Linked DNA regions of Ovis aries. The protein of the gene in region 2 purifies or fractionates together with the protein of the main gene of each other region. This does not show direct contact. Links are inferred from orthologs where the notes say so. Each region holds a gene or a part of one and is shown on either strand. Other genes may lie near its edges.

Region 1 (3,563 bases), on a different chromosome or scaffold from region 2:
GGACGTGAAGAAGTGCTCGCCGGCAGCGTCGGGCGAGGTCAGCTGCGTGTCCAGCTGCAGGGTGAGGTAGTACACGAAGTGCTCGCTGCGGAAGCTGTACACGTAGTAGATGTCGAAGGCCGGGAACTTGGACAGCGTGTCCGAGGGGATCTTGAGCTGCGAGGACACGAACTCGTCCTGGTACACGAAGCCAAACATCTCGGCGTCCTCCTCGTTGGCCATGAGCCGGCGGCTGGACAGCGTGGGGAAGTACTCGGACTTGCCGTCGATGGGCGTGCCCACAAAGAGCTTGGCCTGCGCCTGGCCGGGCGGCCCGGCGATCAGCACGCCGGCCATGCTGCCCGCCTCGCGCACGCCCGACAGGTAGTGCTCCTTGCGGTGGTGCGGCTCGCCCAGCTTGAAGAGGTCGTCCAGGCGCAGGAACTGGCAGATGCCTTGTGAGGCGCTGCCGCAGGCCAGCAGGCGGTTGGCGGGCTGGTCCAGCAACAGCAGCTTGTTGACGTTGTCGGTGCTGCCCAGGCCGTGCGGGCAGGACTGCACGCTGGGCGGGGGGTAGCACTTCTCGTTGTCCTCCACCGGGCCCGTCACATGCGCCCGCAGCAGCGTCAGGTTCCCCGACAGCTTGTAGATGCGGTTCACGGCGCCCACATACACCTCGCCCGTCTGCTCGTGGACCACCAGGTGGGTCAGCGCCCAGTCGCTGGCAGTGAAGGTGCGGAAAGGGGGCTGCAGACCCCCGCCTGCCGGGGGGGCGGCCCCCAGCAGCAGCAGCAGCAGGATCAGCAGCAGCAGCAGCGGAGCCCGCGGGCTCAGGCGCGACAGCAGCATGACGGGCCGGGGCCTCAGGCAGAGGCGCTTGGGTCCTTCGGCGCCAGGCATCACAGGAGCCTCAGCCCTGCGGGGAGGAGGGACAGGGCGTGTCACCTGCGCCGTCACTGAGCGCCAGTGCCCATCCTCCGCCAGGATGTCCCACTCGTGGGGCGCAGCCTCACGCTCCAGGAGACGCCAGAGGGGCAAGGGAGAGCCCCTCCCGGCCTGGAGCCCTGGGGGCAGCTATTCTGAGCCCCACACTCCGGCCAGCAGCGCGGGCCGCTCGAGCTCTGCCGCTCGGGAGAAGATAGGAACCCAGGACCGGGAGGTGGGCGACAGACCTGGGCCTGCCCACGCCCCCCAGGGAGCAAGGCTCCCGGCTCCAAGCTCCCACGGTGGTGACCGCCTCTCTGCCCAAGCGCCTTGCGGGCTGGACAGTACTCACAGGTAGTAGAGAACACTCGTGTGGTCCCTGCAGAAGGCGGGGCTCCTCGCAGCCCCGCCCCGCCCCTGGCCCCGCCCCCAGCCCTGCCCACCTGCCCTCGCCCCGCCCCCAGCCCTGCTCGCTAAGAGCCCGGCCCCGCCCCCTTCTCTGAGGAGTTCCCCAGCAGCGGGGTGGCTTGCACCTCCCACCCCCAGCCAATGGCTGTCCCTACCCCAGGCGAGAAGCCCCCAGACCCTGCCTCCTCGCAAACAATCTCATCTCCCCACAGCTCAGCAGCTGGCAGCCACACTCCAGGTTACGTGTAGCCTCTGGGGCCCGCAGCCACGTGGTTGACCGGGTCGCCAGCCAGGGTCTCCCCGTCTATGCAGGCTCGTCTCCCGGGTGACAGTGAGCAGGCCGGGGTGCCCAGTCAGGGTCCCGCCTCAGCTGTCCCCGGACTTGCGGGCTGAGGGCAGCAGCCGCGAGCTCTCCAGCTGTCTGTCACCCTTGTAGTCTGAGGCCCGAGCTGTCCCCAGACACTGTCCCCACCAGCACGAGAGCTGCCTAAGCCCCAGAGGCCAGCCCAGGACCTGCCCATGTGAGTGAGTGACTGGGCCCTGCCGCCCACCCCAACTTCACTCCCCACACCCTCTTCCAGTTGGGGATGCTGAGCCTCGAGAACTGAGGCGGTGGGGGGGTGGGTGGGGCGGCTGGTCAGCACTCCACGGGTGACGGGTGGGGGCCCAAGGCGGGATGCTGAGCCCCCAGAAGGGGGGGTGGAACTCTGGCCAGCATCCCACAGAAAGGGCACCAGGCTGTGCTGCCACAGAACCCTGCCTGCAGGCTGTCAGCTACCCCTCACTCCCTGCCCAGACATTCCCAACAACTGTGGCCGCCAAGGACCTCCCAGGCGGCAGGGAGAGGAGTCCCCAGCCCCTGCCTCCAGCTCAGGAGGCCAGGGCAGAGCAGTACTGGAGAACAGGCTCCTCAGGACTCGGCAGGGCCTGGGCTGAGTGCTTTCGAACTCCAAAGAAAACATGAATCACTCACCGTTTATCAGTTCAAAGCAGGCCTGCAATTACCAGGGGCTGGGCTCTCCCCTCCTCCGGATAATTACACACGTTCTAATGCAATTACGGGCCCTACTTTTTATATTAAACAGGAGGGACCCAGCTGAAGAAGCGCCATCCAAACTCCAGCCTGGCCGGGGGCCCGCTGCCCCTCCCCCAACAGGGCTGCCCAGAGGACCAGCCAGGCTGCAGCCAGCAAAAGAGGGCGTCCAGACCACCCCCTCACAGGGGCCACTAAAGACAGCTGGGGGACTCCCCCTACCCACGAGGAACGGGCTGTGGCTCAGATAGACCCAAGGTCACCCAGCTAGCTGTGCACACTCCCACGGAGACCTGGACTCCCACGGGCCTCTGTTCTACCCAGGAAAAAATGCATTCATTCCAGAGCGGCTGCTGGGTAGGGCCACGCCGGCCGGGGGAGAGGAGCCGGGACAGATACGAGCTCTGGGCCCGCGCTGGGGTCCGGGGAGGCCCTTCCACCTGCTGGTTAAGGACCAGGCCCGACGCTGGCGGGGGAGGGGCACCCTGGGCGCAGAGCAGCAGGAGCAAAGGCCGGGGTGGAACCTGCTGGACCGCGCAGAGGGCAGTGAGGGTGCCCGCAGCACCAATCAGAGCCAGGCCGGGAGGGAGAAGCTGCCCGGGGCACAGGGCTGGGCGTGCCGACGGGAGGTAAGCAGGGCAGGGAGCGGCCCAGCGGCCTCCACGCCCGCACAGGACCGGCTCAGCCATCCGCCAGGGCGTGGAGAGCGCGCCACCCGCTTCTCTGCCGGCCCGCGGCCACCGCCGCTCCGCGCCCTGAGAAACAAAGGCCCTCAGAGGCTTCTTCCCAGAGGAACGGCCCCGATTTCCCCCGCCCCACTGGCCAACTCCCCAGCCACATCTGGACCCTCGCAGGACTCGGGCAGCTTGAGGCATTGGGGACGGAGAAGACACAGCGTCCTACCCAGGGGTGCCTTGTCGGTCAGCAGCCAGCGCCAAGAGCTGCCCCGTCACCCCACCTCCCCCACACAGGCCCCCGGAGGTGGTCCCAAGCCGCCTGCTCCCCTCCAGGCCTGTCCGAGGGGGCCGGGATCGCAGGCACTCGAGTCCTGCTCCTCAGGAAAAGTGCCTGCTCCCCGGCTCCCCCGAGTTATCCTCTCCTCCCGACCCCATTTCACACCCGGAGACGTTCCTCGGCGTGAGGAGGGGCTTACAACACACCAACCACGGCAGAGCCGGCAAAGGGCAGTCGGCTTGGTTCACAGCTCTCATCGGTCCCC
Region 2 (4,338 bases):
AATAGATTCCCTGTGGAAAAAGAATGGCATTCTTTGCTCTCAGCATGAATTTATAAATCTACAGAATTTTATTACAGGAAAACCAGGTCAAATGGAAATGAAAGATGAAGTGCACATCAAAAATGCATAAAGCTACATGCATTACAGAAATCATTTCCCATAAATTAAAAGAGAAGACAATATAAATTACTTTGTTTTTCTCAGTTGCTAGATGTTTCTGACTTTGTTTCTTAGACTGTTGGGGGGCGGGGGTAGCCTTATAAGGGTTTCCTCTGCCTTAGCTTTTAGAAGCTTAAGGTTTGCCAAGAAGAAATGGTGTTGTAACTGGAGTTCAGAATCTCAGCTAATGATCATACTGGACTCTGTTATGTTATTCTGCAGAGGCTCTTGCATTATTTTAAATGTGCAGAAAACTTGGAAAGCAACCCCATCTCATTAAGTCTCCTCCAGCTCTGTACAAACATCATGGCAGTGTCTGGCATCTGTTAAGGAGTGAAATAAAACAGCACTGCTTGTAGCCACTCGACAGAGTCACTTCAGAAGACATTTAGGTGGACTCAGTACCACACCAGAGCTCTTTAATCTGTGACTTCTGAGAAAGTGACAGTGTAATAAGATAATGCGGACTCCTAGACTCCCTGGCTCTGTTAAATCTCTCTAACACTTGATTAAGAACGAGCAGTTTCTAATGATTCTGGACCATTAGTCCTAAATAAGGTTAATGAATTAATTTAGCAGACACTGGTACTCCAAGGAGGTGGACATGGCTGGGAAAGGTCTGCTGAGCTAGAGGCATTAACTGGCTTTGGTCACTGTTAAGTATAGCAACATAGGTTTAACCAGTCAAGTCACTGACTGCAGCTTAGGGTCTCAGCATTCCCCAGATTTCTGCTAAGAAAACTGGGAAGTATGTGTATCTCTCATGTATGTATATACACACACACATATGCACACACACACACAGACATACATATGGAGTTCACAGCCTAAAGTCTGAAAGCTATTGGCATTGGATTTCAAATCCATCCTATGAACACCCGCCACCGTGGAAGCAGATGTTGTTACTGTAATTTCTAAAGTCTAACCATTGGAGCTCTTTCAATTGGAGGTGAGTGTTATTTCATTCCCTGCCAGACTAGAGAAGGATGCCATCATCTGAGGTTCATTAATAAATTGAACTCTACATTCACAATTGTATGTGTTTTGCTTCCAAGCATATCTTTTAGAACACTGCTTGGTAGCTGCTCGGGAAATCTATTGCTTCAATCAGGAAACCTCTAAAAAGCATATTAGAGAGATTAACGCCCATCATAAAGATGTGATTTAAATTCCTCTCGGTATGAACCCCTCCACTTGTGGTCTCTTATTAAAACAATATACCACGGGTAAGTAGCGGATGGGCTCTCTTAATTACTCTGATTGAAATCTAAGCCAGGCTAAAGTAAATATTTGATAATTAGTTAATAATAATTGCTGAAGACTTACTGTAAAGATAATGTCACCCGCCCCCTTGCTTCCACCTACTTTACAGTGTAAGTTGAACATGCCTACAACCAGATCCCATTTTAAAACACATTATTTACGTTACAGGATACTGCTTCTAACCCAGCACGGTCTTCCATTTACTTAACACTGAGTGGTTTTAAAAGCTAAGTGGAAGCTGCAACTAGGTTAGGGGATTTTCACATATCCTGGTGCCTTACAGCGTGTGTATCAGATTCCTTTATTGACACGATATAACTTTCATTCATACTCCAGACGGAGCAGGGCTGGTTTGAAAAAGCGGAGGAGGGACTAACACCCACCCGCAAACCGCTATCTCCTGCGGGCACCCACCAGAGGAATCAGTTCTGGGGAGCTGTCGGAGAATCAGGAAGTGCTCCCGGTAAAGTGTTCATTAACTTTCAACAGCCATCATATTTTTGAAAGGGAGTCTCCTCTAATTGCCTTGGGGAGGAAACATTATTAAGATAATTGGTGCGCTGATCTGGGAAGGTAGGGCGCTCAGCCTCGTAGCAGAGGTGGGAAAAACCCCATGGCCAAACAACCAACTTCAGGAGGGAGTCAGAGGACGTGAAATCTCCCTGCCCTACCTACAACGACTAATCTTATTTCTTTATTTCTCCGTCTGGCTAAAAGTTTCCTTCACCGGGAGGCGGCTCTCCCCGGTGGGTCCCGGCAGCTCGGAGCGGGCAGCCGGGAACCGGGTTCACCCCCGCGGCCGCGCGCCTCCGCCTGTCACTTACCGTTGCGAAAAGCGCCGGCCGCGCCGAGGACCAGGGCTAGCGCGGCGCACAGGAGCTGCAGCCCCTTCTCCATCCTCCCTTCGCCAGGTCTCCGGGGCGAACGCGGGAGAACCGAACGTGCGGGGAAAACAGAGCACCGGGGCGATCTCCACGATCCGGAGCGCTTTCACTCCTCCCGGAGCTGTAAAATCCTCAGACCGTTTTGGAGAAAGAAAAGCGTTGAGGCAATGCCTTGATCCGAGAGAAACGCTCCTCTTTTTGTGTCTCAAGTCGCCTGCATCCTGTCATTTAGCTCCGGTTTCCTCTCTCTTTTCCCACACTTGTTCCTCTTCCAGGAGCCGCTGCCCGGGCCATGTCTCAAAAAAAAAAAAAAAAAAAAAAAAACGTAGGGGGTGTGGGAGGGGGAGGAGGGACGTAGAGAAACACACACCAACGCCAATTTCCAGAAAGAAAGAAAAAAAAAAAAATCCGGCTTGATTCTGGACCCGTTGGATCCGGGGAGCTGGCGCCCAAGGGAGGTCGGGGTGTCTGCGCGAAGAGGAGCAAGCAATGAAAAGATGAGCGGGAGACGAAGGAGTTTCACCAACTGCACCCCCGCCTCCCCCACTGCCTCCTCCCCTCCCCTTCTGGAGCCCTTCCCTCGCTTCCCCCCGCCCCTCTCCCCGCACAGGCTCGCCAGCGATTGCCTGACAAGAGACGGGGAGGAACAAGTTTCTCTCCCTGAACGTTCCCCGTCCGTCTGTCCGTCTCTCCCACAAGCCCTGCTGGGATCTTCCCCGGCAGGGAGGCGCCGGGACTCCGTGCCCAGGGCCGAGTGCCGGATGTGTTTGCGGGGGTACCGGGCGTCGAGGTCGGTGGCAGCGCCAGGGTCGGGCTAGCCCATCTCGGCATGCTCGCTCGGGCCCCCGGGGGAGAGCGGGCAGTTCCGCTAAGATTTTGGGGGGTCGGCCGCCGGAGACAGGCAGCGCGCCCGGGAGGTGGCGGCTGCTTCTCCCAACTCCGAAACCCTCGGGAGGCGCCCGAGACGTGACCTGGGGTCGTGACCTGGGGCAGGAGCAGCAGGGCGCCCCTGGACGTTGCGGATCAGGCCCGAAGGGGCCGAGGAAAGGGGCTGGGGTTGGGGACGCACCCCGGAGCCGGGCGAGAGTCGGCAGTATCGCTGCCACGCAGAGCCGAGTCAGTAGACTCACGCAGACTAGGCTGTGCTGCAGCCCCGCCCGGCCTGCCTGCCCCGTATCGGGGCGCGCGGCTGGGCGCCTGGCGAGCCCGGGTGTCTGCCGCGCGCCGCGGGCTCCATTGTTGCCGAAGATCTGATGTCCTCTTCTCCCGGCCAGAGGGGACGCCGAAGGGTGGAAGGTGGTGAGCCTTCCAGCTAGGGGGCAGTCGTTGCCCGACCCCACCCAGCCGGCTTATTCGGAGCCCAGGTGCTCGGGGTTTGGAAATGAGGGGTCCAGCGGTCGGGGCTCCTGTGCATCACCGGGGAGCAGGAACAGTGGCGGGGGCGGGGGCGGGGTGTTGCTCTTGGCCGGGCTCTCACGGTGCCCGCTCCGGCTACAGGCGGTTGTCACGCCGGCCCACCCCCGCCTCCCACTGCAGCGCGTCCTCAGTGGGCTCTGGATGCCCCCCAGTTCGGTCCCCGAAGGGTTTTCCGGGAAGTGCTGCAGAAAGCCTCTGCAGATAGGAATAGCAAGGACATTTCAGGGACCAAACAGGTTTTGGCTACGGATCAGGCCCTTGAGAAGGTAAATGCCCAGGGACCCCTCCGAAGGAGTTCGTGGGGAAGGTGAAAAGGTCAGCCGCCTTCTGGGAACGGCGTTTCTGCACACACCCGAAAGCAGAGCCTTAGTCCTACCTGGCGCAAAGAGCTGGCAAAAGAGATTTAGGAATGTTGGCAGGAAGACTCTGGTCAAAGGTTTTGGCGGAAGAACTAGGGGCGGGACGCGAGGAAGGCGGCCCAGCGCGCGCGGGCCCTGGTGAGGGCTCGGCTCTAGCGGGTGGCGGCTGGACGCGGTGGCGCGCCCCGGCTGGGGTACAGACGATCCCCGCGCGCCGTGCAAAGCTGCACCTCGGGCTTGCGGGCCCGCGCCGGGGG
Region 3 (3,563 bases), on a different chromosome or scaffold from region 2:
GGGGCAGGTGGGCTATACCCTGTGTACACCATAGATACTTTTATGTTTCTACTCTTCTATTTGTTTATATGTGCATGTGCCTCAGTGATACCAGTAAACTTGGTGAGAACAGGAACTGTGTCTTAAATTCCAAGGCACTTGTTTAACCAGCGCTTTTCACATTGTAAGACTAGAAGGAAGTTTGAGAGCCCACTGGTAAAATTGCCTTTTCTCTACATAGAAAGCCTTCAGAGTGTGGCTCTCAAGCCCCCTTGTTAAGAAAAATTGGTCTGCTTCATCTTAAGAAATGATCATTTGTACCAGATGGTTTACAGATTTCACTCCAGGCTTAGGATAAAGTTATCACCTGTATTTAGTTTGTTACCTACTTGGAAAAACGGACTGGCTATAAGTGGATTTTTTTTAAGACTTTCACAGTTTAGGTCATTAAAGATTTTCTTTATGCTGTGAAATTTGCACTATTCTATTATATAAAACAAATTGAAACGAGTAATTTTACTGTTAGAGAATTTCTAAAATTATACTAATTTATGTAGAGAATTCCAAGAATTCCTGAAGAAGCCAGCTAGCCACTTTATGTTTGTCTTCATTTTTCATCTCCTTTGACTATAAAAATTAGTGCCAGAACAGAAGACTGTGTGAATTGCCCTTTTTTCCCTACTCTGGTTTGGGCTGCTGTCCTGGTATTTTGCTGCACCTGTGACTCACACCGTAATTGTGGCTCTTCTCTGCATGAGTGTCCTTACGCAGAATCTCCTCTAGGGAGCGCCCCACTACTGCCAGGACATCTTTTTTGTTGGAGATCATTGTGAGCCAGCTGCCCTGAAGGCGTTAAAGACAGCGCCATCATTTGTGGGAAATAAGAGTCTCTCAGTGCCCTGAAAATGTGATGTGTTCAAAAAATTAGATGTACTTAAATACAGAATTCCCTGGAGAAGGAAATGACAACCCCCTCCAGTATTCTTGCCTGGAAAATGCCATGGACAGAGAAGCCTACAGGGGGCTACAGTCCATAGGGTCGCAAAGAGTCAGACATAGCTGAGAGTCAGACAAAACTGAGCGACTAAACAACAACAGGATTCCAGTTTCAGTTCACAGTTCAAGGAAGTTTCATTAATTTGCTCAGGGTAATGAAAATTGGGGAGTCCTGTATTCTAAATAATCTAGGGTCTTGCATAAATTATTGGTATCTCAAAGGAATAAACTAGCATTTCATTTGAAGTTTACAGGCTCTTAGTAAGGATTGCACAGTTTAGCATTGTACATTTGTTATAGGAATATTAAATGCTTGAGTTTTCTCTTATGTTTTTTGTTTGTTTCATAATGCAGAAAATTATGATCCATTATTCATGCACCCTGATCTGTCTTGTGGAATACATACTGGTAGCTGTGGGCATATTATGCATGCACACTGTTGGCAAAGGTAATTTATATTCTTAATATTAGTCAAGAGACGCTTACCCAAAGACTCAAAATCTAATTTTTTTAATAAAGGAAATTACATTCTGGAAAAAGGGGAGAAAACTAAACACATTTGAAGGAGAAAAGACTCCATTATTACTGCCTAACAAATAACAATTAAAATTAATTTGCTTTGTCAGTACATTTAAAGGAGTGACTTAGAAACTTCATAGTATATCAAATATAATTTTTAATTTAGGGGTCTGTATTTTTTAATATGGGAAATCTAATAGACTGGATGAAGAAAAGGATTTCTACAATGGTATAAACCCAAGAAGAATGTCTTTCTTCGGGTCCAAGGTGAACAACTCATGACTCTGAAGATGCTAGCACTTGCCTAGTTGCCTCTCAAGATTGTCATGGCTCCCTGAGCTAATATGGAATAACTTCAAACTTACTGTATTTCGGTGTTTTCTAAGCTTCTGCAGTAGCAGAAGTGCCGTTATTCTAGTACTCTGCTCACTGAGTTGTCCTGAACCACCCCAAGTAAGTAGCACTAGCCCTGGGGGAGAAACCACAGCTCACTAGGGCCAAGAAATATGCTACTTGGTGACTGACTGTTTGCGAGGCAATCTTCTTTTAATTCTCTTGTTTTAGAACTCTTAGCCCTTTTTGCTAATTACTACAATGTAAAGTATCACTTTAAAAAATAATTGCGGTCATTTTAAAATTTTAATTTTTAGATGTTTTGTGGAAACAAAATGTTGAAGCTTGTGGCTCTCATTTAGAAAAAAAGAATTGCCATTGTTTTTGATACCTCATGTTTTCTAATTGTGAAGGTATTTTGATTCCGTTCAAGCTAAAGAACAGCGAAGGCAACAGAGATTACGCTTACATACAAGCTATGATGTAGAAAATGGAGAATTCCTTTGTCCCCTTTGTGAATGCTTGAGTAATACTGTTATTCCTCTGCTGCTTCCTCCAAGAAATGTTTTTCATGGGTAAGTTTTGGCTCATAAAACCTTTGTATCAAAGAAGTAGTTTCCTTTAGAAGGTAATGAAATGATAAACCACAGCTGGGTGGGGATATCCCTCTAGGTAAATGCATGTTTTCCAGGTACTTTCCAAACTTTTTATTTAGTCATTTCTTCTAGCTGACCTATGAGATACAGTTTTAGTTTTTAGAAAGGAACAGACCAAAATTTAAGTTTTTTGATCACCCATAAACACTAGAAAGGATATAAAATCCCCATGGGTTCGTGAAAACCGTCTCCTTTATTTCTAAGACCCCGCTTTGAATATCTCCTTCATACTTTCTTGAGACACTCAATAAATCAGTGGGGGGAGGGGCAGCTCAAACTGACCTTATTGAGCATACTAACAATTAAATATTATTTTTTGCAATTTACTGGCCAATAGAAGAATTGGGCCAAAAAGTGAATATCTGTTAGTGTATTTAAAATGTAAAAATTTTGTTATTTCATGATGTTTAGTGTGCTTTTTAGTTATTCATGATCATTTTCCTCTCAGATATGAATTTGATGGTATCTCCTATTCAAACCTGACCTTTGTATACATTAAGTTTTATGAATATGAATCATCTGTTTATTTCTATGCTACTATTTGGGTTTAAATTAAAGCAGAGTCAGTTTTTTTCTCTTCAATTTTAAGAGTTCAAACTATGGTGTCTTAGTCTATGCTACCGCAAAATGCTCTTAAAATACCATTAGATATGATGTAAGCTCATGCTTTTTTAATCAGAAAAGAAATATCATGGTGCTGACTTATATCTGCATTTGAACTGATACAGAAATTAGTCACTGTAAGATTAAGAATAGAATTCTCTACGTGTAAAGAGAAAAAACTCACTTCTGTGGTGCAGGTTTTGCTTTTTTCCCAGGAGAGTCAGTTATGGCACATTTGTTAAGAAGACAAGCTATCGTGTCTGATGTAGCTAGGTTTGAATGCCACATCTGTCCCATATACAGCCTTAGTCAAGTTACATAGCTCAAAACCTCAGTTTCCTCATCTGTAAAATGGGGACAATAATATAACCTATTAAGAAAATTTTGAGGATTAAATCTAATACTGTGAAATGCTTGCAACATAACTAGGTGCTTACAGCATAATAAGCACTCAATAAATAGTATCCATGATGTGTT
Region 4 (4,200 bases), on a different chromosome or scaffold from region 2:
TTGTAACTTCTGCTTCTATTAATATCAGCCAGCTATATAGTGAAGGTTCCCTTGATCACCCTCTTTGGGTTCCATTAGTTTGCTAGAGCTGCTCACAGAACTCAGGGAAGCATTTACTTAACCATTTTATTACAAAAGATAGTACAAAGGATATGGGTAAACAGTCAGATGAAGAGGTACCCAGGGCAAGGTGTGTGGGACAGGATGCAGAGCTTTCATGATCACTCTAAGCTGCCCCTCTCCCCCCATTTCCACCTGTTCACCAACTCAGAAGTTCTCTACCCCCTGTCCTTTGTTTTTCTACAGAGGTTTCAGTATGTAGGCAACGCTGATTAAACTCTTGAGCTTTGGTGATCAACTCAACCTCAGTCCCTCCGCCCTCCCAGGAAATCAGGGGGTGGGACTGAAAGTTCCAATCCTCTAATCACAAAGTTGGTTCTTCTGGGAATAGGACCCATCCTTAAGTTTCATAGGGACTACCAAAAAGTTACCTCCTTAACGTAACAAAAGACATCTTTATCCTTCTCACCAATTGAGAAGCTTCAAGGTTTTAGGAGCTCTGTGCCAGGAATGGGGACAAACGCAAAATATATATATATATATATATATATATATATATATATATATATATGTATATATATATATATATAATTCTTATTATAAATCCTAACACTTATAAACTAAATGTATCCCCCACACTGAGAGTGACATATTTTTACCCATTTATAGAAACATACACAAAAGCAGATACACTACCTCTGCTCCCAAGGCTTTGACAACCAACACACACCAGGGAAGCGCTCAACAGAGAGATACCTTCAGACCTTCGGAGAAACACAGAAAGGAGGCAAAAGGAACGAAATAGACATGGAATGCGTATGACTTGCAAGATGAACAGCTACTCAGGACAGGCAGCCAGCAGCGTGCCCAGGCACACCAGTAGTGCCAGGCAAACCCAGAGGGGTCTCGCTGGAGTGTGTGTGTTTCCTTCTCTCTCTCACACACACACCAACACACGCTTTCCTCTCTCCCTCAACAAACGCATACATCCTGCCTTTCACAGTCTCTCTCTCACAGTCTCTCCTATGCACACGCCATCTCTTACACAGTCTCTCACGGTTGTTGTGCTGCACTCATACACAAAATCTCTCTCGCACAGTCTCTCACACAGTCTCTCATACACAGCTCCTCTCTCTCATACACAGTGTCACACGCACATGTAGTCTCTTAACGTACACTCTCACACAGACTCCCTCTCCTGTCACACTCGCACGCGCGCGCGCGCCCTTGGCCCCGCCCCTCCGTGGCCCCGCCCCCGCCCGGGCTCCGCCCCGGCGGCTGAGGGCGGGGCGAGCCCGTGACTCGAGGGGCCGAGCCGGGCTGGTACTCGTGCCGCCCCAGCCGGCGGGGCGCGCTCTGGAGGCGCCTGTCAGTGGCAGGCGCGGACGATCCTACGGCGGCCCTCGGGCACTGGGTCGCTGCCTCCGGCTTGGCGGCGGTCCCGGGCGGCAGAAGTTGGCGGCGGAATGTGCTCGGCCGGGCAGCTGCTGGGCGGCGGCGGCGGCGGCGGAGGCAGCGGCGGGGAGCGCGACGAAGACCGAGACGCGCTGGCGGAGCGAGCGGCGGCGGGGACGGAGCAGGAGTCCGGGGCGAGCCCGCGGCGGCGCGGGCGGCGGCCGCAGGAGGAGAGGGAGCAGGTGAGCCGAGCGGGGCGGCGTGGGCTGGCCGGTTTCCCGAGCCCCACGCGGAGGCGGAGGGAAGTGGTCCGGCGGGAGGGCGGCGCCCGGGCTGTGCTCGGCTTGGGGAGCTGGGCTTCGTGGCGTTCTGGGAAGCCGAACAGTTGACCCCGAGAGCAGTTGACGGCGCGCTCGGGGCGGGCCGCGGGGTCGCGTGCCGAGGGCCGACCCGGAGTCGCGTGCCTGGCTGGGTGAGCACCGCCTTTTCCCACCCGTGTGGCGGAGAGGATTCTCAGGCCAGAGCCCGGGGCTCTGGGGAAATGCCCTCCATAACGGTCGCTTATCTGAAAGCCTTCCATGTAAACACTCTTCCACTTGGAATCTGTTCCCCGGGGCTGTGTTTTAGGGGCCAGCGACTCCCCTCCCGCCTTCCATCTTGGCATTTCTGAACACACCTAGCGCCTCTGTACGGTGTAGGTGTATTTCTGTAGCCATGCAAGTCAGTATCTGAAGGCATGTGTAGGAGCGAGTATTACAATGGATGTCTTGACGGGGACTCTCCCAGAGCAAGTTTTTGACATGAACAGAAAGGAGATCTAAACTTCATTGAAAAACTGAAAAAGCCGAAAAATTGCTTTCAGTTGTTACCAAAGGGAGAAAAAGCATGGTTCCAGCCATAATAAAGGAGAGAAGTTGGGCAATTTTTGAAACTCTGAATTTGCTTTCACTAAATAAAATATGGTGATAATAGGCGTTATAGCATGTATCTTGACAATTAGGGAAGACGTTTAATGAAAGAAATTGAATTATCCCACATAGTGGGATGAATTTTCACCATGAAATACAGTAGACCTTCAAAAATACCCGAGATTGGCTTACCCTCAGAATCCCATTAAAGCGCAAGAAATAAAACTATCGTTTGCCTTTATTACAGGGTATACTGTTGAGATCAATACCTATCTCCTCTCATTATCCTTCAGCATCTTTTTGTCACATTTCACAAACTCCAACATCACTAAATGCATTAATAGGTAATTTCTCTGCCTTGGTTTTAGGAAACAGAAATAACCGTGTGGCAGGCACAAAATATGCCTTAGCATTAGGTTTGTTCACCATGTGGAAGTGTAATTTTTCATTCTTTTGATGATATAGGAGATGGTAACTGAAGCATATAATTGGTAGCTATGAGATCTTCCTGACTAGTTTCCTGATGGTTTATCCGCATTAACTGTGCCATGACTCAGTAGCTAAAGGACTGTTTCCTCTTACTTTAGTTGTTCAACTGGCAAAGTGAGGAAAACAGCAACAGAAATTCCCTGGGGCGGGGGAAATATTATTTGAATTGAAGATCCCAAAGTAATTTTCAAGTGGTTGTAAGGGAGTATGTAAAATACTTCATCTAAAAAAATAAAAATAAAAATAAAATACTTCATCTAAGCTTTTGTGGATCTTCAATCAGCAGCAGCTCTGGTCTTAACAGAATTGCTTATGGTACACAAAAAGGGATGAAACAAAAAAGAATGAAATATATACCCTAGAAAACAGATATATTTTGCATACCTGCCTCTATCATTGTGTGTCATGGAAATTTATTTTCCTATACTCTTGTGAAAACGTTATCATTTCATTTTTATCACATGATTTATTTATGTACTCTAAGCCCACATACACAATACTTGAAAATTATACCTGAGATATGCATTCCCTCCTAATAATATATATGCACCAAAGAACTTCTCATAAGTAAGTCAAAAATAAACAAAGAGATTGATACAACCCAACCCATTGGTATAAGAAACAAGCTTTTGTGATAAATCACTTCTTGGTAATGAAAAGTGTTAGTCTCAGTCGTGTCCAGCTCTTTGCAACCCCATAAACTGCATCCTGCCAGGCTCCTCTGTCCATGGAATTATCCAGGCAAGAATACTAGAGTGGGTTGCCATTCCCTTCTCCAGAGGATCTTCCCAACCTAAGGATGGAAGTCTCCTGGTCTCCTACATTGCAGGTGGATTTTTTGCCATCTGAGCTATCAGGGAAGCGATAAATGTAGCTTTCTTTCAAGTGCTGAAAATGAAATTTATATGCACTGTCTTGTAATGACAGTAGAGACATAAAGATATTTGAGGAAGAGGTAAATGATATTAACAACTGTAAAACATAGCCTAAGGAGTTATTTTAATTTGCTTTTCTTTAGGCAGATAGTATGTGTGTGTTTGCTGCTTTAAGGACACGTGGACTCCAAATTACAAATGGAGTACTTTTGAAAACTTGGTTTGTAATCTTGTTAATATTTGGAACTTGGAGTGAACTTTTCCATAGAAACAATGATAGGAACAAAACCAAAACTAATTAGCTGGAAATGAGACAGAGGCCATCTCCTGCTGTCCTTTCTGCTTGACACACTCAATATTCCAGAATCTGAGCAGTCTCACGGATATTAAAAGAGAATTGGTCGCAGAGGCTGCAGTAATAGCAGAGGCTCCCTTATATCTGGACCAGGGTTATAGGTGGTGTGTTCTTGAAT

The links.
Region 1: the proteins of NRP1 (region 2) and PLXNA1 purify together in Homo sapiens (affinity purification with western blotting; 4 studies listed by BioGRID). This does not show direct contact. The link is inferred for Ovis aries from reciprocal best matches to the Homo sapiens genes NRP1 and PLXNA1.
Region 3: the proteins of NRP1 (region 2) and UBR2 purify together in Homo sapiens (affinity purification with mass spectrometry; 3 studies listed by BioGRID and IntAct, counting the BioPlex papers as one, with this or other methods). This does not show direct contact. The link is inferred for Ovis aries from reciprocal best matches to the Homo sapiens genes NRP1 and UBR2.
Region 4: the proteins of NRP1 (region 2) and FAM241A purify together in Homo sapiens (affinity purification with mass spectrometry; 3 studies listed by BioGRID and IntAct, with this or other methods). This does not show direct contact. The link is inferred for Ovis aries from reciprocal best matches to the Homo sapiens genes NRP1 and FAM241A.

What each region holds. Positions count from the first base shown.
Region 1 is NC_056072.1:60,170,675-60,174,237, forward strand, and holds part of PLXNA1 (plexin-A1), read right to left. Parts: intron 896-3,563; coding exon 1-895. UniProt on the Homo sapiens protein: Coreceptor for SEMA3A, SEMA3C, SEMA3F and SEMA6D. Necessary for signaling by class 3 semaphorins and subsequent remodeling of the cytoskeleton. Plays a role in axon guidance, invasive growth and cell migration.
Region 2 is NC_056066.1:18,965,792-18,970,129, reverse strand, and holds the start of NRP1 (neuropilin-1), read right to left. Parts: upstream 2,801-4,338; 5' UTR 2,320-2,800; coding exon 2,247-2,319; intron 1-2,246. UniProt on the Homo sapiens protein: Cell-surface receptor involved in the development of the cardiovascular system, in angiogenesis, in the formation of certain neuronal circuits and in organogenesis outside the nervous system. Mediates the chemorepulsant activity of semaphorins.
Region 3 is NC_056073.1:16,370,441-16,374,003, forward strand, and holds part of UBR2 (E3 ubiquitin-protein ligase UBR2), read left to right. Parts: intron 1-1,329; coding exon 1,330-1,423; intron 1,424-2,240; coding exon 2,241-2,402; intron 2,403-3,563. UniProt on the Homo sapiens protein: E3 ubiquitin-protein ligase which is a component of the N-end rule pathway.
Region 4 is NC_056059.1:13,754,783-13,758,982, reverse strand, and holds the start of FAM241A (uncharacterized protein FAM241A), read left to right. Parts: upstream 1-1,389; 5' UTR 1,390-1,526; coding exon 1,527-1,697; intron 1,698-4,200.